Linked DNA regions of Rattus norvegicus. The main gene of each other region encodes a partner of the protein of the gene in region 2 in a complex. Links are inferred from orthologs where the notes say so. Each region holds a gene or a part of one and is shown on either strand. Other genes may lie near its edges. The genes, in order: Tubg2 and Tubgcp3.

What was found.
Region 1: Tubgcp3 (region 2) and Tubg2 share a complex: the UniProt entries of both Homo sapiens proteins name them as parts of the gamma-tubulin ring complex. The link is inferred for Rattus norvegicus from reciprocal best matches to the Homo sapiens genes TUBGCP3 and TUBG2.

What each region holds. Positions count from the first base shown.
Region 1 is NC_086028.1:86,582,375-86,598,578, reverse strand, and holds Tubg2 (tubulin gamma-2 chain), read right to left. Parts: upstream 6,970-16,204; 5' UTR 6,865-6,969; coding exon 6,816-6,864; intron 6,540-6,815; coding exon 6,427-6,539; intron 6,236-6,426; coding exon 6,068-6,235; coding exon of another isoform or gene 6,046-6,067; intron 5,763-6,045; coding exon 5,694-5,762; intron 5,419-5,693; coding exon 5,339-5,418; intron 3,784-5,338; coding exon 3,657-3,783; intron 2,474-3,656; coding exon 2,387-2,473; intron 2,280-2,386; coding exon 2,130-2,279; intron 1,697-2,129; coding exon 1,544-1,696; intron 1,466-1,543; coding exon 1,304-1,465; intron 1,096-1,303; coding exon 898-1,095; 3' UTR 714-897; downstream 1-713. UniProt on the Homo sapiens protein: Tubulin is the major constituent of microtubules, protein filaments consisting of alpha- and beta-tubulin heterodimers. Gamma-tubulin is a key component of the gamma-tubulin ring complex (gTuRC) which mediates microtubule nucleation.
Region 2 is NC_086034.1:83,569,970-83,586,073, reverse strand, and holds part of Tubgcp3 (gamma-tubulin complex component 3), read right to left. Parts: intron 15,835-16,104; coding exon 15,757-15,834; intron 14,819-15,756; coding exon 14,613-14,818; intron 13,184-14,612; coding exon 13,014-13,183; intron 11,332-13,013; coding exon 11,213-11,331; intron 10,714-11,212; coding exon 10,588-10,713; intron 7,655-10,587; coding exon 7,586-7,654; intron 7,274-7,585; coding exon 7,141-7,273; intron 6,278-7,140; coding exon 6,111-6,277; intron 683-6,110; coding exon 572-682; intron 281-571; coding exon 172-280; intron 1-171. UniProt on the Homo sapiens protein: Component of the gamma-tubulin ring complex (gTuRC) which mediates microtubule nucleation.

The DNA.
Region 1 (16,204 bases), on a different chromosome or scaffold from region 2:
GCCAGTATGCCATCATAGGATGGTGGGTGGAGCGGGCAAGAAGGCAATACTGGAAGCTGGCAATTACTCACCCTCTGTTTGCCATGAAGTGGTATGAGGGTGGCCTCCTGTCATCCCTGGCCTGTGAGGGCAGTGAGTCATCAAGACAGGCACTACCCAGGTCCTCCCTTGGTGTTCAGTTCCTGGGCCCTATCTGGTCCATGTTTCATTTCCCTGTGCCTTCAGAATGAAATGGAGAGGTGACTGGGGCCGCGTGCAGATGTAGAAACATCTCTGGTATGGTGGGCGCAGGACTACTCTTGAATTTTTTATTCTGTCAGGCTGGTTCAGTACGGTTATGTTCCTGAAGACGATGGTGGTCCTAGACAATGGGACTCCTCTATCCTAGCTATTCTAACTTGCTCAGACCACCATGGCCCCTTTGTCCCTAGACCCTGTATCTCTTGAGTATAAGAGGTTAAGGCAACGTCACCCAACTGGGAACAGGGGCATAGGCACTGAGGATACAGCAGGTCAGGAACTTTCAGTCATCCCAAGAGAGGGACTGACCCCTAGGAAAACAGGCTGGTTCGAGGTAAGATGGGGAACAGTGAAAACACACTAAGACCTAAGGAGTAAGTTGGAGCAGGTGAAGGCCAGCCTGTTGTCATGTGTTGTCATATGGAAGGTGTGCTCACTTGGTGTCCCATAGTCACAGACCAAGCTCTGCTGTATTTATCATCGAGCCTTCTTGCTTTATTAGAACCAAAGAAGTCAGTGAAGAACCAGGAATGAGAAGGAAGAGATAGGAACAGCTCCTAGACGGGACATGAACTCAGAAATGTGAGGGGACATTGTGTCAGAAGGTCCAGGCATGGTGGGGGCTGGGCTTGTCCAGGGGAACAGCAGAAAATGCAATCACTGCTCCTGGGTGCCCCAGGAGATATAGTCCGGCCTGGTAGCAGCGTGATACTCATCGATGAGCTCCTGCACCACCTCCCTGGATCTGTCCATCTCCTCAAAGTTGTCCTTGAAGATGTCCTCTTTGCGGAACTGCTCCAGGAAGGCCCCCCGCTTCCACAGTTTGTCATACTGCTGGCAGGAACTTTCAAAAAGCTAGAGGGAAAGAGAGCTTCAGAACAGCATGCAGGCAGAACACAGAACTAGGGACAGACAGGGTGGGGACTAAGGACATAGGGAATGGAGCAGAGTGGCCAAAGACCAGGAGCTGGGGTGTGGCTCAGAGTGGGGAGAGCTACCTCCCATTCCCGAAGCCCTGGGTTTGACTCCCGGTAACACAGGGACAACAGGAGACTGTGCTCACCGAGGAGATACTGGTGTGGTTGGCCATCATGAGCCCGCTGACCCGGTGGGCTGAGGGCAGGTAGGGAGACTTCCTTGACAGGGCCACCTGGATGCTGGCCGGGCCCCAGGGGATAAAGTTGGCCAACTTCCTCTCCCGGATCCTCTGCAGGCTCTTGTGAACCTGAAGTGGGCAGAGAGGTGGTGGTGGCTTCTTCTCCATCCTGTGGTCCCCAGGCTAGGGTAAAGAGGCCTTCCTTACCTGGGTGGGGTCCACCTCTCCCTGGATGATGTTGAGGATGGCGATGTAGCAGTGGTTGGTCTGACGATCCCGGCCTGTGGACACCATCACGTTCTTGGGCTGTAGCAGTCTCCTCATGACATCCAGAACTGTTGTCTTCCTCACACTGGCCACCTGAGGGAACAGGGATTCACAGGGACCCGGGCAGCAGTCAGGGAGCAACTCAGAGTGGCATGGACAGAGGAGAAGGGTCAACTCTGTCCCCATCAGCTGGCAGGAGGTGTGGCCTCTGGGGACTGTCTTTAGATCAGGTCTGTGCTGAGTCTCTGCCATGGGATTAGGATCGATCAATTGATCGATCATGGCTCTCAGCTCACCAATCCCATGCCCTTGAGCAATGAGCAGGAGACCCCATTGGGCAGCACTCCTGCAGGAGCCAAACAAAGGTAGTAGAACACGGAGGCAGGGCTGCAAACTGGTGGCAGTGTCAGGCCCTGAGTATAGAACCTGGGGAGGTGGGTAGAGAAGGGCTGCAAAGAGTGGCTTTGTGTGGGAGAGTATGGAAAAGGGAAAGGCCTCAGTGCTGGGACACTGGGGGAGCTCTTACTGACTGGTCCGTGGTGAGGGGGGTATAGCCAGTCATGAGGAAGTGTAGTCGAGGGGTGGGAATGAGTGAGGCGATGAGGCCGATGAGGTCGTTGTTCATGTATCCGGGGTAGCGCAGGGTGGTGGTGCTGGCTGACATGATGGTGGACACCTGGGAGCAGGAAATACTGTGTCATGGGACTTGATGGAGGTGGAGCGTCCCTCCTCTGATGACTCTCTCGCAGACAGAGGGCTCTCATTCCAGGAGTGGGGGCTCACCAGCTGGTTGATCTGGGAGAAGGATGGGTTCTGGATGTGCAGGCGGTCTGTGGCGATCCGGTTCAGGGCCGTGTTGTCCAGCACCACCTGGCAGGATATGGGGCTCTATAACATCTTTTGAGGCAAAAGGGGACCTCGGAATAAGACAATGCGTAATGTCTGTAAATTCCCAAACCAGGAAGTAGATTTGCTACCTTCAAAGAAATATTCTATCTCTGGGATACCATAAGAGTAATGGCATGACACAGGACCATAAACATATATGTCCCCCACATGCCTTGGTTCTAGAGAGACTACAGAGAACAGATATGTGCCGCCCTTGGGCCTACAGTCCAGGAAAAAGCAATTATTGAAACAAGGCTGGAGGTATAGCTCAGATTTAGTCTCTTTTAGCCATAAATACAGCAGGCATGGGAGTACACACATTTCCAATTAAAAAGCCGAGGTAGGGGAGCTAGAGAGATGGCTCAGCGGTTAAGAGCACTGACTGCTCTTCCAGGGGTCCTAAGTTCAAATCCCAGCAACCACATGGTGGCTCACAACCTCCTGTAATGGGATCTGATGCCCTCTCCTGGTGTGTCTGAAGACAGCTGCAGTGTATTCACATAGAATAAATACATTTAAGAAAAAGGTAAGGTAAGGAGGATCACAAGTTTGAGGTCAGCTAGGACAGATTTAGTAAAATCCTGCTTCATTTCTTCTTTTTTTTTTCTTTTTCTTTTTTTCGGAGCTGGGGACCGAACCCAGGGCCTTGCGCTTGCTAGGCAAGCACTGTATCACTGAGCTAAATCCCCAACCCCCATTTCTTTCTTTTAGTCTAGACTAGATCTCAGTCCATAGCTCAGTCTGGCTTGGAACTTAATTATGTAGCCCAGGCTATCCTTTGAACAAATAGTGATCCTCTTGCCTCAGCCTACGCAAAAATGGAATTACGGGCATAAACAACCACGTGCACCTAAGACAAGTTTAGTTCACAACATACACAAAGGAATCTGAATAATGGAGGCGGGGAGGTTTTGCTATTAAAGTGACCTTTGAGTTCAAGCACAAGGAGGCACCGAATAGGCAAAATGGGGTAATATGCCGGGACAGGGGAATACTCTGTGGCTGCCCCAAAATCCTGGAAGCAACTTGGAAGTTGGCATCTTAGTTCATAATCTGGCCCAGTGTCATGGCTTTGTTGGGTGTTTTGTGTGAGCCAGGGCCAGAGAAGGGCACGGACAAGTCTTAGAAGGGGAGCTAAGTCCTGACTCCCTCTTCCTTTCCTCACCACACAGTCCGCGTTCTGGGTCAGCCTCTTTAGGGTGAGGAGGGAGTTGTAGGGCTGGACCACCACGTCACTCATCTCATCCTGGTTGGGAAACACAGAGTAGGTCTGCACCAATTTCTTGGGGTACCTGAGGGCAAAGAAGAGGGAAAGCAGAGGAAGGCACTGTGAACCGGAAGGACCTCCCCAGCCATCGATCTCCTTTCCAAGTGCCACTGAGCTCGTGTACAAAAGGATCAAGAGCACGCCTCAGAAATTGGCACCCAGAGGACAAGCCACGTTCTGTAGGTCCCAAGGGAACATCCCATCTCCCTGCCCAGTTTTTGCTTCCAAGGTGTTCTCTGGATGGTTCTGTCCCGGTGACTCAGGGAGTAGCAAACAAATGAACAAACAAAAACCCAACAACAACACAACAGAACCCCCCAAAACTTCCAGCTCAAGGGGGTAAAGAAACAACGTGGAAAGAGATTATCTAGGAATTCTACTTCAGTTCCTGTTACTGTGACAAACACAGCAAAAAGCAACTTGGGAAAGAAAGGACTTGTTTGACTTTCAGTTTTAGGTTACAACACATTATTTCTGGGGAGTCAAAGCAGGATGTCCACAGTCAAGAGCAGAGGGAATTAAATGCATGGATCCTTGCTTGCTGGCTGGCAGCTAGCTTTCTCTTTTATGCTGTGCAGGAACACCTACCAAGGGAATAGTGCCACCTACAATAGGCCAGGTCTTCCTGTATCAATTAACCATCAGGCCAGTCCCTTCCAGACATGTTAACAGGTCAGCTCAAGGTAGGTAACTCATCAAAACTCTCTTCTTATTGACCAATGAGGTGTTCGCATTTTTTGTTTTTTAGTTATTTTATTATTTTTTTTTTTTTACTTCTACCTTCCTTCCAACCTTTATTTCACTCTGATCCCTTCCAACGCCCCAAACACTAGATATGGGAGAAAGAAGGCTAAAGGGGGAAGCGGTCATAGTCCTCTTTAGACTACTTCCTGCTGATTAGGGCTGTCGAGCTTCTTGGGGCCAGTTCGATCTTCATGTCAGGGTATCTCCAGCTTCCTGTTAACCAACAACAGCAACCAGAAGCGGGGGGTGGGGGAGAGTAGCAGCCTCCCTTCAAGCACCCCTGCCCCTCTCAGGCCTCTGGCATTTATACTCTCTCCAGAGTCCCCAGAATCAAACTATCTGCAGCTGGCAAAGATCACGCCCCTTCCAGTGCATGAGGCAAATCATAATCACCTGCTGGGAAGCAGCCTCTCATCCCACACCTGGGATTAAAACAAAAACATTCACAGAACATAACTGGGTTTTAAAAGAAACCAGGGGCTGGGGATTTAGCTCAGTGGTAGAGCGCTTACCTAGGAAGCACAAGGCCCTGGGTTCGGTCCCCAGCTCCGAAAAAAAGAACCCCCCCCCCCAAAAAAAAAAAAGAAACCAGTCAACAGTAAGGTGACTCAGCGGGTAAGGTAGAGATGCTTGCCACCACAACTTAATGACCTCAGCGGTTCCTGAGATCCACGTGGTGAAAGAGAACCAACCGGCACACGCTGTCCTCTGACCTCCACACGTATGCATCTATGCATGGACAGGTATGCCTCCCCCAAAATAAGCAACAGTGTAATTAAAATATTAACCCGCATACCAAAGAGTCAAGGCTAATGACTTCTTAAACGCAGGCTTACCTGTCATTCAGTCGCTCTAAGAGGTAGGAGCCCAGACCGGAACCTGTCCCCCCAGCAATGGAGTGACACAGCACAAATCCCTGAATGGGGAGAGAAAGAGGCAGTGTCCAGGTATCTCAAAGAGAGACATCAGCCTTGTCTCTGAGGCTCCTTGGAAAGGCTCAGAGACCAAGGAGAGGCTAAGTGACAGCACTGAGATTCTGATTTCCCTGGAACAAGGCAGTGGCTTAGTCACCTTAATGCGTTCTATATGATGTCCCCGAATGGATGCCCAGTTGAATGGCTCCACCGCATCACGTGTTTAAATCCTGCCTGATCTTTTCCCCCAGTCTGTTTCCCTGTGGAACACCCTCACCTCTAGACTGTCACTTCCATCTGCTTCTCGGTCTATGATGTCAAAGATGTCCTCGTGAATTTTCTCGCCCTATATGTAGACATGGGGAAGGGAAAGTCAGGCCAAAGGCTCCTTTCTCAGCACCAAGAACTCCACACTTGGTCTCTGTTGCCATCCTGAAGCTGAGCTTCCCGACTGCAACCTTTCTCAACCCAGAAATGCTACTTTGTGAAAGGATTTACATAAAATTTGCATAACCTTCCAAGTAGTCCCTCTTCTCAACATATCCATTAGTCTCTTTAATAATTGCAAGTCTAGCCTGGACAGATCCCCAGGTTTGTTTGAGCCTTGCCTTATCCCTGGCTAGGATTACCAAGAAAGTCTGGGACTGACACCTGGGAGAATCCCCTGGCCCAGTTGTTGCCAGCCCCTCCTCCATGCTCGGACAGGTAGATGTTCTCTGGGTTGTAGAGCTTGGCATAGGAGGAGTTGAGGATGGAATGGATCACCCGGGGCTCCAGATCCAGCAGCACAGCCCGGGGGATGTAATGCTCATCGTCTGCCTGTCAAAGGGAAGCCAGGATTGGCCCAGGGAGCTAGGATGAGTCAAGTCCCCAACTCTGGTTTCGGCAGGCCCTCCCTCAAGACAGCCATTCTGTTCCCATCTGCCCAGTGACTTTCCCAGCACCATGTGGCTGCCAGTCCCTTCAGGTCTCCAAGGTCCTGGCAAGTTTCTGTGGAGGGGGAGGGGCACCTGGTAGAAAAAGACGTCCTTGCGGTCAGTGCCCTCGGTGGCGAACTCCTCTACGATGCCCTCCGGGCTGATGCCATGCTCAGCACACAGCTGTTTCCAGAATTCGAACCCAACTGGGGGAGGGGGAAAGAGGCCCAAGTCTGCTAGAGCCTTAAGGCCTGAGAACCCCAGGCTCAGAGCCTATTACACTCCAGGAGGTGACCCAAAACGCCTGGGTCTGGAAGATGTCACAGCCCAGGGCTGAGAAGGCAGCTCTTCCCTGAATCATCATGCTCAATAGGAAGGGTGGTCCATGGGAAGGACAAAGGGAATTGATGGGTACCAGGCACTTGAGTGCGGCCCGAGGGATAGAACCAGAGACTAGCGGGGCACAGTGATTGCTTGCTCACTCTGGTTGCCGCACTGGCCCAGCTGCAGGGTGATGATCTCCCGGGGCATCTCCGATCAGACGGGAGCTCGTCTGGCCTGGCCGGGCGGGGGTCACGGCTGAGAGGAACTCCTGCCAGCCAGAGGCGCAGGACATGGGGAACGCGCTGTCCGCCGCTGTTTTGATGCGGGCGCTGTGTCTGCGCGTGTGCAGTGTGGGCTCTCCGCAGCCGGCGGGCGGCAGAGCCCATCCTGGGCATCATTTTCTCTCCTAGCAGTTGCAGCTGGAATTCAGCACAGGCGCAGAGTGAGGCCACGCTTCCTGTCACTATGTGCGCGTGCGCACGGTAACACTTGGCCAGCGGAGGATCCCCAGGGATGTGGGGGAGGAGAGGGAGAAGCGGCCAGGTGGATGCTCCAAGTGTGGGAGTCACCTGCCTACACCTGCCGGATCTGCTAAATTGAGGGGCTATATTTAAGTTGGGGAATTGAACCCATGTCCCCGAGCATGCTAGGCAAGAGCCAAACCACTTAGCTACACATCTAACCCAAGCCAAATTTGTGTGTGTGTGTGTGTGTGTGTGTGTGTGTGTGTGTGTGTGTATTTTTTTTTTTTTTTTTTTTTTTTTTTTGGAGCTGAGGACCAAACCCAGGGCCTTGCGCTTGCTAGGCAAGCGCTCTACCACTGAGCTAAATCCCCAACCCCGTGTGTGTGTGTATTCTTTAATTTTATCTTTTTGTGTATCATGACAGGGTTTCTCCGTGTAGCCTTGGCGATCCTGGAACTCACTCTGTAGACTAGGCTGCCTCGAATACATAGATCTGCTTGCCTTAGCCTCCCAAGTGCTGGGACTAAAAGGGTTCAGCTATTTTCATAGTCTTACACTATGAAAACTATAGAGTTTGTCATCTGGGACCTGGTGTGGTGGCTTGTGCCTTTAATCCCAGCACTTGGCGGGGCAGAGGCAGAGCCCGGAGGATCTTTGTGAGTTCTAGGTCATCCAATCTATTTAATGGATTTCAGGCCAACTGGAGCTACATAGTGAGACCCTGGGTCATAAAATAAATCACCATCTTAGGCTGGCGGGCGTCATAAGGGCCTGTCTGACCAACCTGACAATATCTGAGTTTGATTGTGGGGTCCCCATGATGGAAAGAGAGAATCAAGAACCTACTCCTGGGTTGTCCTTTGACCCCTGTATATGCTTGCTCTTGGAGTATGCAAACTTGCACAGAATAAATAAATATAATTAGAAAGTAGGTCCTGGGCTGGAAAGATGGCTCAGCAGTTAAGAGCACTGACTGCTCTTCCAGAGGTCCTGAGTTCAAATCCCAGCAACCACATGGTGGCTCACAACCATCTGTAATGAGATCTGATGTCCTCTTTTCGTGTGTCTGAAGACAGCGACAGTGTACTCATATAAAATAAGTAAATAAAATCTTTAAAAAAAGAAAAAAAGGGTTGGGGATTTAGCTCAGTGGTAGAGCGCTTGCCTAGCAAGCGCAAGGCCCTGGGTTCGGTCCCCTGCTCCGGAAAAAAAAAAAAAAAAAAATTAAAAAAAGAAAAAAAAAGTAGGTCCAGGCAGAGGCATACCTTTTAGCCCAGCACCCAGAGCCAGAGAAAAGTCAGCCTAGTCTATACATTGAGTTCTAGGGCAGCTCAGGCTACACTGTATCTTTTTTTTTTTTTTTTTTGTTCTTTTTTTTCGGAGTTGGGGATCGAACCCAGGGCCTTGAGCTTCCTAGGCAAGCGCTCTACCACTGAGCTAAATCCCCAACCCCTGTATCTTAATTAATTAATGTGTACCTTTTTAAAAGATACCAAGTGGTTTTGGGGGACAAGATTTCTCTGTATCCCTGGGTGTCTTGGAATTCGATCTGAGACCAGGCTGGCCTTGAACCCACAGAGATGCACCTGTCTCTGACTCCCCAACAAACACTGGAATTAAAGGTGTGCGCCACCACTGCCATGCCAAAGTTTACTATTTTAACCTTTTGTAAGTGTAAGAACTTTTTGTTTTGATTCTTTTTTTTGAGGGGTTGGAGGAGGGGACAGGATCTCTCATGTGACGCAGGCTGACCACAGCATCACTCTGTAGCTCACAGGCATGATCTCTTGATCTCCCGGCTGATGTTTCTCTTAGGCCACCACAGCCAGAACTTCTTCCCAAACTAAAGCTCCAAACTTCTCAGTTGTGTAGCCACCCCTCTCCAACCCTTGACATTGACCATCCTTTCTGTCTTAGGGATTTGCCTTCTCTACCTACTTAAAGGATCCATACAGTCAGAACAGTTTTGTCTTTTTTTTTTTTTTTTTTTTTTTTTTTGGTTCTTTTTTTCCCGGAGCTGGGGACCGAACCCAGGGCCTTGTGCTTCCTAGGCAAGCGCTCTACCGCTGAGCTAAATCCCCACCCCCCCCTTTTTTTTTAAAAGATTTATTTATTTATGTGTATAAGTACACTGTAGCTGTCTTCAGACACACCAGAAGAAGGCATCAGATCTCATTACAGATGGTTGTGAGCCACCATGTGGTTGCTGGGAATTGAACTCAGGACCTCTGGAAGAGCAGTCAGTTCTCTTAACCGCTGAGCCATCTCTCCAGCCCCAGCTTTGCCTTTTAAAGTTGAATAATAGTTCAGGCAGTGGTGGCACATGCCGTTAGTCCTACCACTTGGGAGGCAGATGCAGGCAGATCTTTGAGTTAGAGGCCAGCCTGGTCTACAGGGCAAGTTCCAGGACAGCCAGGGCTACATGGTGAAAACCTGTCTTAGAAAATGAACAAATAAAAATAAATAAAATAATAATAGTAATAAAATTTAAAACTAGATAAAAAGTAAAGAATTACGTGTGTGTGTGTGTGTGTGTGTGTGTGTGTGTGTGTGTGTGTGTGTGTTTGATCCATTCTCTTCTTGTGGTGCTAGGAACTGAACCTAGGATTTTGCTCTCACATGAGGCTAATACCCTTCCTCAAGATATAATCACAGCTCTCTTTTTACTTAAAAAACAAACAAAACAAAACCCATTGGGGTTGCAGGGATGGCCCAGCAGTTAAGAGAACTGGGTTTGGTTCCCAGCACTTGTATATAGTGACAAAACTTTTCCTGGGGAAACCCAACACACACATCTACTCACCCCAGATAGGAAGCACAGGACAGACCATAGTACACAGATAACACCAAAGTCAAAGTTGCTGAACCAGTGAGTTTTATTGGGGTTACTTACAGGGATGTGGGTGAAGGCAGAAATGAATCATGGTGCATCACCAAAGCCCACCCAGGATGGTGATAGCCCACAAAGCTGGGAGCTTGGAGCACACTGCACAGTCTACAGGCAGTTCAACAGGTTGGACCTTGTCCTTTCCAAGTGACTCAGTTGGTCTAACCCTCCTTCAAGCAGCTTTCTAGGTTTTTCTTCTTCCAGAAAACTGGTCTGGTCTGAGAATCTTTGAGGCTTAGCTTTACCTTGGCTGAAAGGGACTCTCAGTTTTTATTGTTTACTCTGGCAGGGAGGGGCTTATTGATTCTGGTCAGTTTCAGGGACTTCCTGAAGCTTGAGGTTTTTTGTTTTTTTGTTTTTTTTTAAAACCTTCCTGCTTCGGGGGCTTCCTAGAGAGGTAGAGTGTTTCAATCTTGAGGAAATAGAATGTTTCAATCTCTGAGGAAATTGTTACACAACAGTGCATCATGGCTAACAACTCCAGTCCCAGAGGTTCCGATGCTTTCTTCTGGTCCCTGCTGTAGCACAGACCCTGCAGCCCAAACACCAGTACTCAGGAAAAAACAAACAAACAAACAAACAAACAAACAAAAAACCCCAAAAACTAAAATTAAAATTTAAATGTCTATTTTAACTACTTTGGTGTGTGTGTGTGGTGTGTGTGTGTGTGCATTCGACCTCTAATCCTCTCCAAGATTGGTCAGGGTGCTTAATCTCCATGCCAGCTCCTTTTTACTTTTTATTTTGAGACAGGGTCTTACAAAAATGCCCAGGCTACCCTTGAACTTATGACTGTTTGACCTCAGCTTTGAGGTCAGACCAAAACCTTTCCAGCCTTCGAGAGGATTTATTTTTATTATTTTCTGTCTTTGAGTGGTTTGTATTCATGTATGAATATGCACTCAAAGGCCAAAAGAAAGCATCAGGTGGGAGGGTGATCCTTTGTAGGAACAACAAATGCCCTTAACTAATGCCTTAATTCTCTGACCCTGAAATCTTATATAAATTGTGTCAGAGTACAACAGCATAGAAAAGCAACCTACTTTTTTTCTCTGTACATTAGAATTGTTGTGATTTGGTCATGTTTATATATGTAAATTTAGTTTTTCTTTTCTTTCCTTCTCTCCTGTACACACACAGAGTATATATATGCTATATATATATATACACATATATGCATACATAGTACTATTATTTTTATTTAAACACTTTTAAAATATTTGTTCTTAAGGATGGAACCCAAGACCTTGCAGGTATTCAGCCAGCGTATCCTATCTCTGCCACATCCCTGGCCACTATGTATTATTTATTTAATTACATTTTAGGTATATGAGTGTGTTGCCCGCATATACATATACCTCACGTGTGTGTGTACCATGTGTATGTCTGGTGTGCCTACAGGTTAGAAGAGGATGTCAGACCCCCAGAACTGGGGTTACAGATGGTTGTGAGCTATCAAATAGGTGCTGGGAATTGAACTCCGGTCCTTAGCAAGAGCAACAAGTACTCTTAACTGCTGAGCTGTCTCTCCGGCCCATAATATTTTTATTTCATTATTATTATAGGATATATGTATATATCTTGTGTGTGTAGGCACCAGGCAGGAAAAAATCATGACATACCCATGGAGGTCATACTTTTAGGAGTGTGGGTTCCAGAGAGGAAACGTATGTTTTCCACTTCTTTCTTTTTTTTTTTTTTAATTAATTTATTATGTTGTAACTGTCACTGTCTTCAGACACACCAGAAAAGGACATCGGATCCCATTACAGATGGTTGTGAGCCACCATGTGGGTGCTGGGAATTGAACTCAGGACCTCTGGAAGAGCAGTCAGTGCTCTTAACCACTGAGCCATCTCTCCAGGTCCCCAAAATGCATGTCTCATCCTTGTGTGGTCAGCATGTTTGCCTACTGTGCTGTCCTAAAGCCCCTTTTGTTGTTTGTTTTCGCTGTTTGTTTTTTGTGCTCATAAGCTTAGTTAAATACTCCCATCTCTGAATTGCATTTCCAGCCCGGTTTCGTTCTTTGCAGCAGCTTGGTAGTATCCCAGTGGACGAATAAAGTAAATTTATTCTTTATCCATAAACAATCTCAGCTTTTATTGCTTACTCTGGCAAGGACAACCTAGTGACCCTTGTCAGTTTCAGGGGCTTCCTGAAGTTATTTTGAATTGTTTACCTTCCTCCTTAGGAGCTTCTTCCAGGATGGAATTTTAATCTTTGGGAAACTTGTTACTCAATGGGTTTCTTATTTCATTATAGATCGTTGTAGCGCGTTACACTCTTCTCTTTTTTTTCTTGTACCTAAATCTGCACCTGGGCTATCAGATGGCAACAGTTGTCAGTTCCCTGGATCCTGGATGGAATTTCTTGTTTCTAGTTATCACAGTTGAACTCCATTAAACTTTCCTACCCACCTCCCCCGACTCCTCTTTCTTTTGGAAGAAAATGGGTTTTTTGAGTATCTCGCAAAGGCAGGCAGCCTGGTAGTAACAAGATCACCAACACCTGGCATTTCTACTTTTCTTATGATTTGGGGGTTTTTCCTCTCTGAATTGCCTGCTCCTTGGATTGTCTCTTTTAAACAGTGAAAGATATTCTTCAGCCAGGTATGGTGGTGCACACTTGTCATCACAGCACTTGCTTGGCTGAAGTGCACGCTGCAAATCATTGTCTTTTAAAAAAGTCTAATACACACACACACACACACACACACACACACATACTTGCACACAGACACACACTGAGTGTGTGTGTGTGTGTATTCTAGTGTGTGTGTGTGTGTGTGTGTGTGTGTGTGTGTGTGTGTATTCTAGGTGTCTTAAGTTTTACACCTAGAAAAGATTTTGACAGGCTGTTTCAGTGGGAAAAGCACTTGCTTCATAAGCCTGCTGACAAGAATTCAATTCCCAGAACCCAAATGTAGGTGAGAAACTCACTACATACAATTGTCCTCTGGCCTTCACTTGCAGAAATTTATATACACAATAATAGGGTTTTTTTTTTATCTGTTTCTTTGTTTGTTTGTTTGTTTGTTTTTTTAAAGTGGCACACTCCTCTGATCCCAGCACTCAGGAGGCAGAGGCAGGTGAAACTCTAAATTCCAGGCTAGCCTGGTCTATACAGAGAGTCCCAGGACAGCTGGGCTACCCAGAGAAACCTTGTCTTGAAAATAAAATTTTAAAAAAGAAAAAGAGTGGGGCTGGGGATTTAGCTCAGTGGTAGAGCGCTTACCTAGGAAGCGCAAGGCCCTGGGTTCGGTCCCCAGCTCCGGAAAAAAAAAGAACCAAAAAAAAAAAAAAAAAAAAAGAAAAAGAGTTTTGTTTCCTGCTCCCAGTCCCAGAGCGAGCCCCAGAGCGAGCCCCAGAGTCAGCTCCAGAGCGAGCGCAGCGGGCATCACCCCTGAACTCCTGCTTACCATTTTCCTCTTCATGAGGATAGCACCCATCTTTTCCTTTATATCGTTCCTTACATGTTTGTCCCGGAGCCCCGCATCTACCCTATGCCTTCTTCCAGCCGCGCTTGGATAGTTCAGCTTGTTCCCTGTAGGTCTTCAATTCATCTGGAATTTATCTGGAGGCCTGCCGTGAGATAGGGATCTATTTTATTTTTTCCATATGGATGTCTAATTGTCTCTGAACCAATTATTGAGGGCTCGGTCGGAGCCTCTTCCTCCAGCCTCTGGAACATTCCAAGCCCTGCTTGCTGATTGTTTGCTGCTCTCTACAATCTGGCTGGGCTGTTAGCCACCAGCTGCAGGCTTCTGGCCTCCTTTGGGTCTGGCAGTCCCGGTCTGGCTGCCTTTCTCTGGGAGGGAGACACTGAAAATTGTTAGGCAAAGTGCCTCTACTAAGTCATGATCAGACAAGGGTTTTTCTTTTCTTTCCTTTCTCTTTTAAAAAGAGAACTTGGCTGCCTTCCAGGCTCTCCGCATAGAACCTTCTGACTTCTGTAGAAGGCTTTAAATCACCCCACAGCCCTCCCTGGCCTCGGCTGTCTGCATCCCCCTCCCGGTGCCAGGACTCTTTTCCTCTTACAGGTTAGTTAGCAAGCGACCCCAAGAGAAAGTGCCAGGGAGAGCCTAGCTGCAGCCTTTGAAGTTTGAGAGTGGGGTGGGAGAGCTGGGGGTTTGAGACTGCTGGGTGGGATGATCTTCTGAGGCCAGGCCTTCCACTTTTCAGAGCCTACCCAGAAGCCCGGGCAAATGGGTGTGAACTCGCCTCCCCACTGGGTGAGCCTGGTGAGGCTCAGTTTACTGCCTTTCAAATAAGCTGTAAGCAGTTTGTGAAAGCTTGGGGAGTAAGAGTTGAATTTCGCCCTTTCTTGGATTAATCACAGTGCCTTCCTTATTGCGCCTTCTACTGTGCCAGAAGCGGGGAGACTTGTCTCCAAATCCCTGTTTATAGGCAAGCAAGGTTAGAATGTGCAGATCATACCCTGACACGGCAGAGGTGTCCTCTCCTCTTAGTCCTGTGGAGATGAGTGGGAAACTGGGAAATCTGTGTGTTGGCGCAGCTGAGGGTGAACCCTTCCATCTATTTCTGTTGAGAACTGATCATTAGTAGTGGTTCGGTGAGACTGGAGAACGGGCACTTAACACACCCAGTGCCTAGCAAACCCTCAAGGAACATTAGCTGTTTTTATCATGGCTGGATGTAATCAGAGATGCAGCAAGCTTGGGTGTTGCTACAGATGAACCATCCATCTTATTCAGGGAACGAAGAACACAAATAGTTAAGTAACTAATAACAAAACACCCGAACTCGGGTGTTTCCGATTGTACAGACTGGGTTTCCATTTGAATTCTACTGACAAGCAGAGAGCATAGGCCGAGGGGTTGGTCTCACCCAAGATCTAAAGGCTGTTTGCCCATTGCTGGTGTCGAGAACCCTTGACTCGAGGTTTTCCGATCCTGGTTATGGTAATTATTCAGGATGAGGTACCTTTGTCCAAGGCCTCAGCCTGCCGTTCAAATTACCTATTGCATCTGTAAACTAACAAGTGACAAACATATGGACCTTTAACTGGGGACATCCCAATATTGAGGAAACATGGGTTCGGGTACTCCTTCATTTTCATTTTTTTTTCTTTTTTCTATTTTTTGGAGCTGGGGACCCAACCCAGGGCCTTGCGTTTGCTAGGCAAGCGCTCTACCACTGAGCTAAATCCCCAACTCTCATTTTCATTTTTTTTTTTCCTTTCTCTGCTTTTTTGAGATCAGGCTCCCACTGTGTAGCCCTGACTGGCCGGGAACACGCTCGTCATAGTCTCTAGACCAGGCTGGTCTCGAACTCACAGAGATGCAGCAGCCATCATCCCTGGCTGTGCCTTCATTCTGCCTGGCTTCGATTTACTGTGTTAGTAGCTTAGGGGTCTTGTGGAGGTAAAGAGAGGTGGAGGGGTGAGGTTGGGACGTGAGGCTATTTCCCAGTGCCTGGAAGAAGAGCAGCGGGCACGGCTGCTACATAAAGCTACCCCCCACCTCCTCAGGCCAGAATCTGTTACCCCAGGAAATTCAGCTCTCACAGGTTCTGCCACTGGGTAAAGGCACTTGTCACCGAGCCTGAGAATCCAGGTTCCATCCCCTGAACCCACATGGTGGATGGAGAGAATCAACCTTCTCAGTTGTCCTCTGACGGGCTGGTGAGATGGCTCAGTGGTTAAGAGCACTGACTGCTCGTCCTAGAGGACCCTGGTTCAATTCCCAGCAACCACAACCATCTACAGGGGAATCTGATGGTCTCTTCAGACAGGTGTATGTATATGCAGCAGAGCACCCAGACATTAAATAAATAAAATATAAAATAAAATATAAATATAATATAAAATATAAAAATAAAATATATTTAAAAAGGGGGGCAGGGCTGGAGAGATGACTTAGTGGTTAAAAGCACTGACCACTCTTCCAGAGGTCCTGAGTTCAATTCCCAGCAACCACATGGTGGCTCACAACCATCTGTAATGGGATCTGATGCCCTCTTCTGGTGTGTCTGAAGACAGCTACAGTGTACTCATACATAAAATAAATAAACCTTTTTTAAAAAAAGTTGTCCTGACTTTCACAAACCTCCCAGTCCTCCCCCGACCCCACACAGATGTAATAAAATCTTTGAAAATTAAAGCACGGACAACGAAAACAAAAGCAAAGCTCTCTGTGTGAAGGGAGTTGGGGCAAATTCATACTTTGTGAAGCAGA
Region 2 (16,104 bases):
TATCATGGTCACCACTAGGGTTCCTACCACTGTCCATATCACCCTCTCACACCATCATAACCACATGACCACCCCCACCCCATCCCTACCACCCCCACCCCATCCCTACCACCACCACCACAATCACCACTACCGTCACCACCACCGTCATCACCACTACAGCTGCCATACCGTCACGAGGTGACTCTGCCGACTTGGTCACAGCTATCATTTTTGTAGTAGGTGTCTGATCATGACAAACTTGGTGCAAGAAATTTATTGACTTTCCTATCAAAAGGACCTAAAAAGAAAAATAAGCTATGATTCATCTTTACACAAGTTAGTGATCCAAACACATCGAATATTCCCACATTGCACATTAGCTACGGATTTTAAAACACAGGACATAAGCACTGGATCTCCACCAGGTAAGTTCTAGGAGCTCAAACAGCACACCAACAAACACACATCACCATGGGCCACCAGCAGAACACAACCAAACTTCCTTAAGTGACGCTCAGCTGCCACCCACCTAGTCCAAGCACTGAGCAATGGCGGTCAACATTGAATGGGGGTGTCCTGCCCCACCTACCTTCCTAGACTGGTCCATCGTAATAAAGGAAGGGATCATTGATTTCCTCAGGGTGTACTTGTCATGCCACAGACGGTCGGTTTTAACTGTTGGATCTGACGCCACAAAAAACTAAGAGTAAAAGAACACTGGGCGTTAGAAATAGCTCTGAAAAGACGTGGTGGTGCACACCTTTAATCCCAGCACTTGGGAGGCAGAGGCAGGTGGACTCTTGAGTTCAAGACCAGCCTGGTCTACATGATAGTTCCAGGTCAGCCAGGGCCAAACAGAGAAACTCTGTTTCAAAAAACCAAAAATTAGAATGAAGAAATACTTGTGAAAATACTATAGTAACAAGGACATTAATATAGTTACTCTATAAGTAAGTTCTTCAGACACAAAGAGTCCACTCGCTTACACAATAAACTTATTTAACAAAGCACTCTGGATGGAAAGCTAGGCTGTGTTCCAGATAATTTAAACCAAACCACAACAAAAGCAAGTTGCACTTCTCCGTGAGGACTCAGGAGTTAGATCCAGAGTGAGGGCAGTGAAGCCTCTCCCTGGCAGCCTCCAGGACCCGTGTCCCGAGGGTTCTGCTGCCGTGGCATCCGCACGAAGCTCCAGCACTTTCTCAGCACTCAAGACCAGTGGCCCTCATTTGTGCGCTCATGACCACCTCCACCTCAGAGTGCAGTGCCACAGGCTGGAGCAGCAGCTGACACAGTGTCCACAAACGACAACACAAGACAAGAGTCCACAACACAAGAGCTCCCATGCCAAGGCCACCAGCAACCAAGCAGCCAAAGGGCGCTAAAGAGACTTTCTTATGAGCCTCTCCCGGCACTACCTATGAGAAACACACCTTCTCCCTCATCCAAGTCACAGGAAGAAGATCCCGCGGCCACTGCCCCCCTTATCTACAGTACAAAGAGACCACTTTCAGGTGAGCTACGAGGCTTAGTACCACTGCCCTGATCCCTACCAACCCACTCTCCAGAAGCAGAACTGACGAGTGAGTTATGTCCAATTTCTATGTATCTGACAGCACACACTTGTGTGCTAGCACGCCCACCAGCAGGGCCCCTGTATTCTATACCCTTAGCTAAATGAGACAGCAGACGGCCACAGTGCCAATGCCCTTTGGTGGTTCCCCCGGGCCCTGACCTGGTCTGGTTGCTGCTGTTAGAAGTGTAAGCTTCCTATTCTCATCCCACTTTCCAGATTACAGAAACAGCATTCAGTGTACTCTTACCACTCTATTTTGTCCTGTATTATATCTATCGCTATTTACCTTCAAAAAATATTACCCTTTCATTAGGAAAGCTTTTTGATTGAAATACATTACACTCTAACATGCTACTAAATGTCAAAAGCAATCCGGGGTAGTACATGCTTTAATCCCAGCAATTGGGTGGCAGACATATCTTTGCAAGTTCTAGGCCAGCCAGGACTACATAGCAAGATTTTTGTCTCAAAAATAAGTAAGTAAATAAATAAACAACCTGTAAGTGAGAAACTACTAGATTAATTAACTCCAACAGTGGTTTATCTTGGGTTTTGTACTTAAACAACAACACAGTTGATAATAAAGCCAGAGTTGCTGGGGAAATGCCAAGAACAAGCGAGCATGCCAATGACCCGTAACGACCATGTGAGCACTAACACAGCCTCTGACTTTGTCACAGCCTTCCAAGGACTCAAAGAAGAGTACTAATCCTTCCAGGAAAAACAAGATGCAAATTTACATTTATAAATACAGGGCATACTAACAGCTAGTCAGGATTTCAAAGGAACTTTATAAGAACTGGATGAAGAATAGCTGAGTGTCAGAAAGTGACACTCATCATTTACTTCCAAGAAAAAATGAGGTAGGACATGGTGCACAGTCCATGTGAAACTGAGAAAACACAGCACACTCCCAGGCTAACTTCTGCTAGAAGTGCTTACACCAGCAAGACATTTAAGTTGCACAACTGTGTAAACCAGAAAAGCTTAATAACTGACACCACATAAACATTTTGCTGTTTTTGTTGTTTTAGATGGCAACATTCTCTCAGAGCAGTTAACGAGTTTTCTTCTGCAGAAATCCACTCTGAGATGATAACTGTCATTTAAGATGAGGTCTCACCCATGGGTTTGCAGGCTAAGCTTTTGAATGCTGACACTCTTGTGACCAGATTATTTGTTTCTAAGGGATTATTTGTTTATAAGTAACTAATCTAACTTACACTCTTGCTTAAAATACATTACGGAGGCAGCTTGGAGAAATAAACGCTCCATTAGGATGAGGTTATCATGTAGCACATACTGAACTAGGAAATGCTCTAAACCCACCGTAACATCTCCCTGGCGACCTTCACCATGCCACCACTGCCCTTTGGCTTCCCATTCAACAGATTAGATTAATTGCATATAAATTATATTCCTGTGATTCACTTAACCACAAGAGCTAGTTTTTATAGACAGCACACCAATTCATCCTGATAGTTTGAGTGCAGCTGGGTTTCCATCAGTCTGAACAATAAGAAATTTTAATTTAAACTATTAAAAACCTCCCAGGCAATTCAGTCATCTTTGGAAGTCATGAACACATTGCTTCATCTAGGGCACAGGAGCGTGCAATCACTCTACGAGCAGCCAGTGGCGAGCACAAAGGGTGTGCTCATCTTTAGAATATAATGAGCTCTGTGAGACATATATGGTGGCAGAGGAAGGACCAAGGTCGGGATATAATTGCATAAGTCTGCACTGTAGTGATGCACTGCCCCTCAAGGTCCTTTAATTTCTACCATTGTGTCAATCACAGAAAGAATCCAGGAAAAAATAAAACGTCATTGTACCCTGATTTCTCATTAACTGCTAGACAAAGGCACACTCCCACCCCAAAACAGGAGCAGAGGGGTGATCCTCAGCGTGCAGCTTCGTTTCTAGGAACCAGACACATCGGCAGATGACAGAGGCTCCCACAGCAACCTCCCTCTCCCAGCACCCACTCAGGGCTCCAGCTTAGTTCTTAAGAGAGCTCACGTCCCCTTCCGAGGTTGAAATCCAGCAGCTTCCTGATCACAAAGGTCATGGACAAGGCAAATGCTCACAGAACAGTACTCAAAGGGCTTGGTGGGCTAAACTCAATCCAAAGCATCTCATGTGTGGGATGTGGGTGGAGCTGTTTTCTTTATGTCGTGTTGGCAGCATTTACTGACATAGAGAAACAAGGGGTTTTGTCACTGTCTGATGGTCCGTGAGTCTGACCACCTCCCTCCCGATGTACTTCCACACACACACGATGTACTTCGCCTAGGGTTTCCTCATGATAAGACCACGTGACCTAAGACGGGCTAAGCCAATTTCTTCCTATCTTTTCTCCCGGACTGGATCCCTCTCCACTCCTGTCTTGCCAGAGTGAACACAGTGCTGAGTAGGAGTGATGGCAGCATACACACTGTCACGTTCTTCAACCAGAGACAAGTGGGACAGCCTCTTACCAGTCAGACTGTAACTGACTGTCCCAAAGCCAGACCTTTTCTGGTGAAGGTTTTACCACCCAATTGTGCTAAACGTCAATAGACAATTCTCTAACATCAACAGAGTAGACTGGGCCCCTAAATTCTTATCATGCCTGTCACGATGGTAGACTAAGGTCCACACCTATGTAATGAATTACTGGGATAAATCTCCGTTTGATAACAATGTTTTCAATATGTGGAATTCTAAATTCTGCTTTTAGAGGCTTCTACACCTAAGAGAATATCACACATTTGTCTTGTGTGGTGCTACGCTGGCCTCATAAAATGAACTTAAACCTTCCTTCCTGTTGTACTTTCTTAAGTTTGATATGCAAACAAAGGGACTGGCAGACAAAGGACTAGGGACCTTGGTCTTGCCCGTGCCCTGTGCGAACTCGGGTTAGACATTGGTCTCTGACTGTAGAATCTTTAGTGTGGGGAGGTGTGGGTAAACTGATGGATCAACAGAGGAAGATGCTAGCTCTTAGCTAATCCAGGAAAGGGTCCAGGAGATATTTGCAGAACTCATAGAACTTTCTTAAACTAACTCAAAAGAAAAGCTTGAAAACAATATAATCTTGCCGAGGGATGAGAACTGATTTTATGCTTGCTGAGTGCAGAGATGGACTAACTCTGGCACTCAGCAGACAAACACGCTCACTGAGTAACACATAAAGCCCAGGGCTGGAGCCCTGGCTCAGTGAGGAGGGGCAGCTCCGAGCTTAAGAGCAGGTGTCACAGTTGCAGAGGATGGAGTTGATCCCCACCACCCACAGTGGATGGCTCACAACTTCCTAGAGTTCCAGCTCCAGGGAGCCAGAGCCCCCTTCCATGGACACCGCGCTCACCCACACACAATTTACAAATATGAAACAAGGCTCTTTTTTCTTGGTCTCACAGTCGTTTGCATAAATGTTACGGTTTCCAATGCTGTTGTGAGACTTCTGTCTGTGCCTCTGCATCTTTATGTTTCCGTGTCCTTCCTTTGGCTCCTTTTCTTCTGTTTGTTCACTTATTTCTCCTATTCCAGCATATTCGTTTTTATTTTACCATATTTTATTATTTTCTAGATGCCAATTTGTATTCTAATGAGAGGAAAGGGCGGGAGAGGAGGTAGGGAGGACCTGAGAGGAGCTGGGGAGGGGAAACCATAATCAGAATATATTATATGGAAAAAATAGAAAAAATAATAATATCATTAAAAAACAGAAGCAAACACCCTGGATATAGTGACACATATCTGCAACCCACATACAAAGACACGCATGCACCCATGCATGCTCACAATAAATCAAACGTTAAGTCTTACTCGTATTTCAAGCAACCAGGTATCTTCAGAAAAATACCCCACATGTATACCTACAGCGAGCGCATCAGTCTGAGAAACGTAATCAACAACTGTGTACGCACATTTCAGAAATCCAGACAGAAGCTTGGTGATACAGGTCAGTGGAGCGTTTGTCTGGCAAACATGGCCTGGATTCAACCCACCGCCCACCTAAAAAATATCTTCTCCTACACCCACTTCTGCAGCAAACAGCAGGGTTTCTGCTGTGAGTGCTGTACATTGTGTCTGTGAACGCCTCAGCCTCTTAGCATACGTGGACTTACGATACAGCTCTGATCGTGTTTCCGTCTTTCCTTTCTTACTGCTGCGGACAACACTTTTGAGTGTGTTGTCCCTGTTCCCCAACAGCCAAAGTCCTCTGGTTTACCACACAGTCTGTGCCAGGTATCTTAGGAACTCACATGTTGCCTCACACGTAACTACTGTTTTCAAAAGGAAAACAGACACGAATGCAGTAGCTTGCTTTACTCAATCAGCAGCACCTAGGGACCAGGTTTATAAAACAGCCATGTAAGAAGACCGCTGCCCTGGGCTGAGTCGCCAGGCCCCAGAAGAGCCGCCCTCCCTGTGCCATCAGTCCGCTGACTCCCAGCACTGACACTGGAGTGCGGGCACAGTGCGGTTCAGAGCGGAGATAATGGCTGAGAAAGGCACACTGCAGAGGTGGTAGCCATGCCCCGTAGCCCCAAGCCCCCATACTCACTTCATGGTAAGTGTCCTCCAACTCCCCGTCGTATATCCATCGGTAGAGGAAGCTCAGGACAGGGTGAGACACTAAGCTCAGAATGTGCTGCACCAGGGACTTCATGTAGGGGTCCCCTGTCTTTGTGTAGGCGTGAACAGCAGAGGCCAGCTCACCCCCCTTCCGTCCTAGGGGAAATGGGGGAAAATACACAGAAATAGCCACATTTGAATTCATGGCACAAACCAATCAATAAACACTAACCAAAGACAGCCAAGTAGCAGAGATAAAATGCACCTGCTTTCTTCAGTTAGCGAGGACTTCCTATATTCAACACAGCAGCAGCGGGCCATGCACACGGCCTGGGCACTAAGATTCAGAATCTGGCTTTATACAGAAATACTCAAGGAAGAGTCAGCCAAGAAGTTTGTCAGGTGTAAAACCAGCTGCCCAGCCTAGACACTTGAGTTCACACTTCATGTTGCACTTTAGTTCACATCTAAGTACCCATGAGACGCAGACGGTGTAAGGATCAGGAGTGACAAGACTTGGGCTGTGGCACACAAGGCCCAACTCCCTGCAGTGCAGTGCAGTGCAATGGTTAGTGTGACACTGTTCAGCAGGACCCCTGAGGAAGGTGCAGAAGCCACAGAACCGGGTCCCGGCAACACAAGCACAGCAGTCATCAGTTTGTGTCAGAAGCTGAGGGCTTTACATGGCCCCTAGTTTTATACAGACTGCTCCGATGTGCAAGTAAAGGAGTATGAACAGACACCCAGGATTCCAGGAGCAGGTCTTACAGCAGTGTCTGCGAAGACCAAACAGGACAGACAAGACTGCTGCAAGACACAGAGCAGCCTCACACAGAACACCTCCTTCCCAGCGTCATCTCAGGCTAATGGCAGGCTGCCCTGGTCCCAGGTTACTTTCCCTGTGAGCCTGTAGCTATGATCTGCAGTACCCTCAGCCAGAGCAGAATCACAGGCCCTACCTACAGACAAGTTTTCACTCAAGCATGTCTAGAAGCACAGAAAAGAGGAACTCAGGAGACCTTGGCAGTGATCTACCAGCGCAGCAAGGGTCTTTAATCTTATTTTGGGATCATATGTCCAAACCAGGAGGCGCCGCAGTGTGAGGCTACTCTCCAGTCCCACATTCACACCCTGATCATCTTCTAGCTGGAGCTAAAAAACAACAGGAAAGGTTAAGCAGAAGTGAGTGAGTACAGCCCATCACCCCTAAACCCACACACGGTGAGAACAAGGCCTCAGCTACCCTAACAATAACGTCACAGTCGTTTGTAAAACTACAGCACTCCCAGGCTACATATGGTAGACGGGCCCGGAAATGGACAATTAATTGGCTCTAGGCTGCAATGAACAGATCTGATACTATGGAAGCCATTACTCTTGTATACGTACGAAGTAACAAATCCTCTCTACATTATTGATTTTCTAACTCTTGAAACTTGAAGGACTCACAGGGGAAGTCCTTACCTGGGAGTGCAGAACAGAGAGGAGCCTGTAGTATTCTTTGAGCTCTTGGTGCAACGCAGCACAAAAACTCTGTGAGGGAAGACAGGCAAGGTTAAAAAACACGCACACACACCTCGCTCTTCGAGAGGAGACAACGCCTTCCCACAGAGCTCAGTGCAGCTGAGATCCTGAACCTGTAGCATCTATTTTGATAACAAGAAGCTTGAACCTTACAGAAGAGAAATGGAGATGTGTCGGATTTTCATGAAGCTACATGTGTGGGTCACTTCAGAGAACGGCCCTTTAACATGGCGTCCTTTCTAAGTTTTAGCAGTTACAATAACTTTCTTGAATGCTTTTCCAAGCATTAGGAACTTCTGCCAGCCTCAGTGTTGACACGATTTACTTTCCCATGCAGAGCACTGAACACTGCCTGCTCTCTGCATCTCTGACCTGAACTAAAGACACTGTCAGAAGTGGGAAAGAAGGACCCGCTGGCCTGCAGTCCAGTGAAAGTGTCCTCTGGCATGAACCCAAGGCTATAAACAGAGCACACAGTCCAAAGTCTGTCTGCAAGACACGCTACCATCAACAACCATAAGGCCTGAAGCCTTACCCCATTAAATAAATATGTGGGCTCCATGGCTCCCCACCTTAGGGCTATGCACCAGCTCATAAATCATGGGCCTGTTTTGCCACTCAGAAGAATGAAATGCCCTTTTAGTTTTAAAAATGAAACTAAAATACAAAATACCCTTCTGGTTAAAAAATGAACACAAAAGGAACATTTTAATCTCCTGTAGTTATAAAAATAAGCTTTGCAAAACACACCAGCCTTGCAGACACACAACAACACTTCAAAGGTCAGACTTGCAAGATGAACTGCCCCAACCTAGGGAACCACAAAGTCCTCAGTGAAGTGCTGGGCTCCCAAGGAAGGCTAACACTTCCAAAGCTCCCACTCCCACAACCACACACATACACACGTGGATAGGTTTTATATACAGAAATAACTAGCATGGGACATAGAAATCCTCACTGACTAGCAGTTTCACTAATGTTCACAGAGGCAGCAATGCGGAATTTGTTCAGGTACAACATCTCATTTTACAAAACCACCACCCCAGAGTCCAAAAGGACAGAACCACAAACATATTTATATAAAATATAAACAATTTATCAAATGATCAAGAGTTCACGTTGTAGTCTGATGTGGAAAATGCAAACATGCAGACTACACAGCTGAAATTACTAGTTGGTCCACATCAAAATGCCACACAGCAGGGTTCTCTCAGCACATTCCTCTCCCACAGCCAGAGGGAGCCAGTTGGGCCGCCTGGGCTTGCCAGAGGAGGAGCAGAGCTGAAAACTGTCTGTCCTAGGAGCCAGTGTCCCTCTGCACAACCCGTCCCATGTTGAGTCTGAGAAGGGCTCTGCTGAGGCCTCAGGGAGAATGTGCATAGAAATGACCAAGACAGGCACAAAGAAGACAGTCCAGCAGGAAGATGGATCCCCAACAAGAGCAGTCAAGCAGGCTAACACGGACGGCCATAACTCCTTGACAGCAGCAGCAGCAGAACAACAGACAGAAAAGGCTTCATTCAGTACAGGAGTCACATCACCCTACCTGTGCTGTGAGACGCTTATGATGCTACTACAGTGGTAAAGTATCTAAGATACACATCTGACAACTTGTCAATACCCAGGCTGTATAAAAGGGTGGAGAGAGCCACACTGTCTGAGTTTCAAAAGAATAGAACTGGACATTTCTCAAAAGGCAAAGCCAATAAGCATATGAAAAAAATGTCCAAATCACTAATCATCTGGGAAATGCAAATCAAAATGTGAAAGACTCCAGTAAGAGCCGGAATCATCAGGCGGACAGGGAGGAAGGGGAGCCAGCACACTGCTTGTTGGGGTGAGCCCTGGGTCAGCTACTAAGAGGCTCCGCAGGTAAGTACCCAGCACAACTTCAAGTGGCAACACGCCATGGGCCCTGCAGACAGTCAGTGTGCTGAGGGGACAGCGGCACTGTCCATCCTGGCTGCACTATTCACAACAGCCAAACGTGGACGTGGGTGTCACAGGCAAGACACACCACATCTTCCACACGACCAGAAAGGAGTGAGACTGTCATACAATGTCATACATTCTCCTAGACAGGACTACGAGTGAAGCAAAGAATGGACTCTGCCTCTGTGCTACAGGCGCTGGCCCCAGGCAGGCCTGCTTCTAATATCAGCCCTCAGAGGAGGAGAGGAGCAATGGCCAGCAGGCCAATTTCCTAGGCAGAACCAAGAGGAAACTGCTAGGCTCAAGGCCAGGGGCTAACTACGCAGTCTCTCCTCACCTTCAGTTATAGAAAGAAACTATGGTGAATGAACAGAATCTGTGTAGGGTGACAAATCTGTGCTGTCAAACTTGAAACTTCAAAGTCCTATTCCTGACCACAAGCCATGCAGCCCTCCCATGCTCCTGACCACCAGCCCCACTGCAGCATCTCTCTGTGCTGTCTCTGAGAGCCTCTCAGTAAATTTCTGTCAGTAACACCAGCAGCAATTCCTACCTAAGAATCCAACTGAGACCAAAGGCATGGACCACTAAACCTGTCCAAGAGGCTGGGGCTCTGGAAGTACTCCACACTCACATTTTATTCTGCTGCTCCCTCAAGATCCAGCAGTCAAGAGACAAAGGTGCCTGCTTCAAGTGACACTGCAGTAGGTCCCTCAGTGCCCACCGTGGACACCCTGGCAGTGACACCTGTAAGTCCCCACTTCCCACATCCGTGGCATTAGAAATGGCAGTGATTTCTACAGGGCAGGCCCAAGCTCTTCCACTTCAAAGTCCCTCCCCCTCTCAAGCTCTTCCCTCTGGCCTTGAGGGACCTCCCTCTGCCATCCCCTCACAGTTCCTGCACACTCCCGGTGGCTCAGGACTGACACTTTCCTCAAGAAGAGCCCTGACGGTGTCTCATACTTGGACCTTACTTAGATGAAGCACCTACCTAACGAGGATGAACATACCTGCCCTACAAGTCCAAACGAGCGGTCCAGACTCCTCTGGTCAGCATACTTCCTGATTTTATTATGTAGCCACCCCAATTCAGCAAGCCGGACCGCCGTGTCCCGCAAGGACTTACTTAGATTTGCCTGAAAAGTAAGCACAGATAAAGTCAAAACTCAAAGATAGCGGTAGACTCATCGTCAGCCCTGCCACTTGTCCTAATATCCTCACGTTAAACACGAGCACAAAAGGTGGTTAAGTCACCAGCACACCACAAGCTGAAGAGAGCACAGGAACAGGGAGGCCGAGGAGAGGCTCCAGGCTCCCGCTGTGTGGCTCCTGCAGGACCACTCTGGGATGCCCATCAGGAACCCTGATAGTCCTCAGAGACTGGGGGACGTGATGACCTCTGTCCTGCTGAGAAGAGCTGAGAGCGGGCAGACTCTCGTGAGCAGGGATGTGGGAAGACTGCATCAGGGAAGCACTGCCACAGAGGGACTGTGACCTCAGCCACAAACGGTCACAAAAGAAGTCAAACCGGGCTGCGAAACTTGTTTACTGCCAAATCTGCCCAGCCCCAGGCACAGCACTGGGAAGACTGTGTGGACGCTATCTCTGGACGCTACAGCGGGGCCTGTCGCTTACCTTCGCTTCCACTTTGTAACAGTTTTCAGTGCTGCTCATTTTGATGTTTTTGCCGTCAATGCCCTGGAATACGTAGAGAATGTCTCTCACAAGAGCTGCTTCAGTTACTTCCGATGTGCCTGCAGAATGATTGCAAAGAAAGTAAGGAGCACTCCTGGCGAGCGGCACGACTGATTAGCACCTCTTACACATCTGCTCCCAGATCACATAGACCAACTCGGGAAGTGGGCTCAAGAAACAAAAGAAAGGTCACATTTCGGAAAGGTGAGGGCTTTCTGAGGGGCGGTGCTCCTACAGGGACCCCAGAAGGCCTCTTCCTGTGACCATCAGACAGGTAACAACATAAATGAACCAGAAGGAGTGTAAGATAGGGAGCTTGTAATACCAGCTTACTACATGGTGACAGCAGGACAGGATCCTCCTAACGCCACTACAAATGGAGTTCAGAGTTCAGAGAAGACATCGGCCTCCCCACTTCTTCTGAACAAATATCACAATAAACTTAGAGTGTTAGCCAAAAATGAGGGCAAAGAGGCACAGCACCCAGAACCTGAGGGAGCCCGAGATGGTCATGAGGAGTCAGCACTCAGAGCCATGGCAGAGAGAACAGCTGGGACACATCCTCACGCTGTGGAGAGGGCTGTTAACCCTCCATCGGGTTAACGGCGCCCTTCCCATCTCACATGGCATCCCTGTCCATCCCCACTGGGGCTCAGCTACTGAGAAGCAGCTCACATGGACTCCTCTGCTTTCTTTCCCCTACTAAAGCTCCTTCAAGAGGAGACCGTCCCTGTTCTAAAGGCCCACCTACACCTCGATGCTTCAAGTCTCTTCTACAGAGGCTCTGCCCCTCTGTGGGTAGTTTCACAAGCATATACCATCCACCCATTTACTTTTAACCTGTTTGCAACTCTCTACTCAAAATATATCTCTTGTACGCAGCAGGTACAACTCTGGAATTATTTTTTAAAACTGTCATTGAAGAGAAGTATTTGTGCCTTTAACAAGTACACCTAGGTTAAAGCAGCCAAATTGCTGTTGTTCCTACTCACCCCACCTCCCGCCCGCCTGCCCATTTCATGTAGTCCACTCTGGCTATATGGGAAGCACAGGTCTGAGGGCTAAGGACAGGCCACTGGTTTATTCCACACACCTGAGTGCACACCCTTACACACTGCAGGATAATGTGGCTGAGAAGGTTCTGCATGAGGACAGCTGCACGGGCAAAGGCTTTCATATACCTTGAGCTACAAAGGGCACTGGCCCCTTGGTTACTCTTAAGGAGAGGAAGCAGCAACCCCAGCCTCAGGATCAGCAGACCACGAACCAAAGCAAAGCCCGTTTCACAGTACTAGTGACTCAGAACTAGTGACCTGCCAAACACTGCTACATTTGGCACTCATGAAAGACACAACTCCCTGACAGCCTAACGCAATGGTAAAACCCTTACAGAGGTCTTCATCTCACACCTCAGAAACACCTATGAGCTCCCTTCACAGTACAGGCACTGTGATAATCCCCGCCCCACAAACGAGGTGGATACCACCCCCCTCAGACACAAGCAACCTTCCTGACTTCCTGTGTGGCTTCCCAGGAGGGATGACAGATAGATAGAGATGGGAAGGGGACTGGGTCAAGGAGGCATCAAGGACAAGAGAGGGAATAGACCAAGCAGACACCAGTGACCAACAAAAAGTGACCTCACAAGGCATCTGCCCACAGGGACCCCGGGTTTCAGTCCATGAACACTAAGGAATCACTACAGATGGGGTGCTGAATTCTAAATAACAAAACATCTTACCACCTGGATCCCCTTCTCTCCTTGACCTTGTCAGGTTTCGAGAAAGAGCATTTGGGAAAGCCTTGGAGGTAGGGGTCTGTGAAGGCTGATTTCCAGTCAGAGTCCATGCTAGACGAGGCCCCAGCTGCTGCCGAAGGCCGTCACCCACTCCTGGAGCTTGATGAGACTGTCTAGAGAGTAAGAAAGAGACATTTGTGGCTTCAGCTAAGCAGACTACCCACGAGAGATAGAAACGTTCCAGGGATTCGCCTATGTTATTATACTATGTTACTTTATAGATCTGATACAGGGCTCTCCAGAACCACATGTCCCCATAACAGTTGGTTCCAGTCCCCTGCACTGACCCGGTTTTCAGACCTACTCCTAACTGGGCATCTCGTCCGACATCCATACTTCTCCACTCGAATTCTCTACAAACACACAGCACACACCACGCCTACACAGAGAAAGTTTGAAACCCTAGTTTAACTACAAGATCATGGCCTTTCATTCATTCGACATTTCCCGAGCTGAGAGGTCTTAACACCTGGGCCCTGTCCCATCTGTGGTCACTAGCCCCCACCCCACCCTGTGTGTATACTATGAAAAGTGACCCTGCAGTTTAACCCATTTGAAAAAATATACAAATACATAAAATGAAAGGCAAAAGGAACCCAGAAAATACAGTCGCTCTGTGAAAATCTAGGAGCATGATGTTTATGTTTAGTGACAACTGTAACAAAACTCCTGCTTTTCAGGACTGAAACAATCACAGGCATTCAGGGCACCTGCTCTCCTAGGGGCCTGCACACAGGGGGCCCGTGTACTGGGGACCCTCCCTATGACAACTACCAGGCCTGTCCTACACTACACTCGGTGGGCACAGGCTTGGCAGCAGCATTCAGTAATACTGTGCATCTGAAAAAAAGTATAAATGAAAATGAAAGCCTAATTCTGCTCAGAATTGTCTTTACAACTTTTCACAACATCAAAAGGCATTCTAAAGTCCAAGGTCACAGATGAGACGCTCTCAGCCAAACATGGTCCTTGGGTCAGCTGTAACTGCTGTTGATCAAGGTGACAGGCTTGTCACAGAGCAATCTGTGTGTGGTACACACAGTCTACCCTCAATACCATCGTGCAAGTTTAGGACTCAAAGTAACATGTGATTCCACTGTGCTCACGTGGAGAGCACCAAGCCTTTGACGCTGATTCTCTGGTCAACGCTCCTCTGGAAATCACCAGCTCAGTCCTGTCACACTGTGATCACCAGGAGTGCCAATGGCATGAAGCTCACCCTGCCCCGCTTAGCTGCACATCGATGGCTGCATCCTTTTTGCTCACAGCACCAACTGAGAGTCTGAGAACCTCAGCCTACAGAGGACTCACCTGCTACTTAAGACTTGAGTTCAACAAGAACAGCTTGCTAAAAGCCTGGGAACAGACCTAAAACACTGAGAGCCACACCCACACCCTGGCTGGTTTGTGTGTGCGTGTGTGCATGCATTCGTGTGTGTGTGTGTGTGTGTGTGCGTGCGTGTGTGTGTGTGTGTGTGTGTGTGTGTGTGTGTGTGTGTGTATTTCTGTCTGTGTATACGTGCGCCCGAATGCTCGAGTTACCCGGGGAGGAAAGGCTGCACAGGTGTGGGGCCGCTAAGGCCACACATGCCGATACTGCTGATGCCGCTGCTGCCCAAGCTGCCAGAGCTCTGTGTGCTGCGGTCCTGGTAGTTCAAGGGGAGGGTCTGAGGCCTGGCACAGTAGTAAGGCGTCGAGTGAGCGTCTCTCGGTAAGGCTTGTGCAAATAAGGAGGCATAGCTAGTTACCTGGAATGAAGCGCACTGTAAGCACATAGGTCAGAGACTGCAGGTGCGCTCGCCCAACCCACAGGACTTCACATGCCTGTCCCATGCTATCTCTGCAACTGGATTTGAATTTCACACTTATTCAAACAAGTCAATGAAAATGCTCCTGAAATTCGTAAGTGAAAATATCAGACATTCTCTAAACATCACCATAAAGCACAAACAAGTTTATAAGTACACCCCAGCTACACAATGAGGAGGTTGGAGCGAATCCTCCATCCGTACTCCTCAGGATCTTGCCAGTCAAACATCTGCTGTGCTGGACCCCACAGCCGGGAGGAGCCCGAGGCTCAGGTAAATCTGGCAGGGCATTCACAGCAGGAAGCCTGCTGGTAAGACAGGGACAGGCTCTCCCAGCTCAAGAGCTGCAGACCTTCCAGGCTGATGGTCCTAACGTAAGTGTCAATTCTCTGACCACTCGGGCTGCTCAACGACACTGCTGCATCAAAAAAACAATTTTGAAACACATCTTCTGGAAGCTGCCACTGGAAAAGAAGAAATGACGTGGCTTCTAGGGTTGGTGGGCCTCTTACTTTGCTCCCGCTATTTTCCTTCCTATAGACTCCCAGAGCTCCCAGGGACTAAACCACAAATCAAAGAGTACACACGGGAAACCCATGGCTCCAGCCGCAGATGTAGCAGAGGATGGCGCTGTCTGGCATCCCTGGGAGGGGAGGCTCTTGGTTGATGCCGCAGTGTAGAGGATGCTAGGGCAGTAAGATGGGAGTGGGTGACTGGGGGACACCCTCATGGGGAGAGGGGGATGCAATAGGGGGTTGCAGAGGGGAAACCAGGAAGGGGGATAACACTTGAAATGTAAATAAATAGAATAATCGATAATAAAGAAGAAAAGAAAACATGGTATGGCATGCCACAGGACTCCGCCCTCCCGCACCCACCTTGCTGGCTTGCTTCCGAGGATCCTCACTGAGGTTCAGCAAGAGGTAGAGGATTGACCATTTATTCTTCAAAACTCCCTGTTTAGGTAAAAATATTACAAGAGCAATTGTATCAACTTTGCTTTATTCTCGCTTGTACTTATCTCTGAAATAGAAAACCATTCTAAAGTCCGCCCATCGACAGTCACTCCATGGGTCCCGCATGGGACCAGCCCCCCAGCAGACTGGATGCTTCAGTCTTTTCTGGGGCCAGCACCTGGTCCTTCACTCCACAGGAACAAGCCCCAAGGTTGCCTGGCTTTGGATTAGCAAAGCCCCCCAGACTAACTCATGGCGAAAGGAGTATCA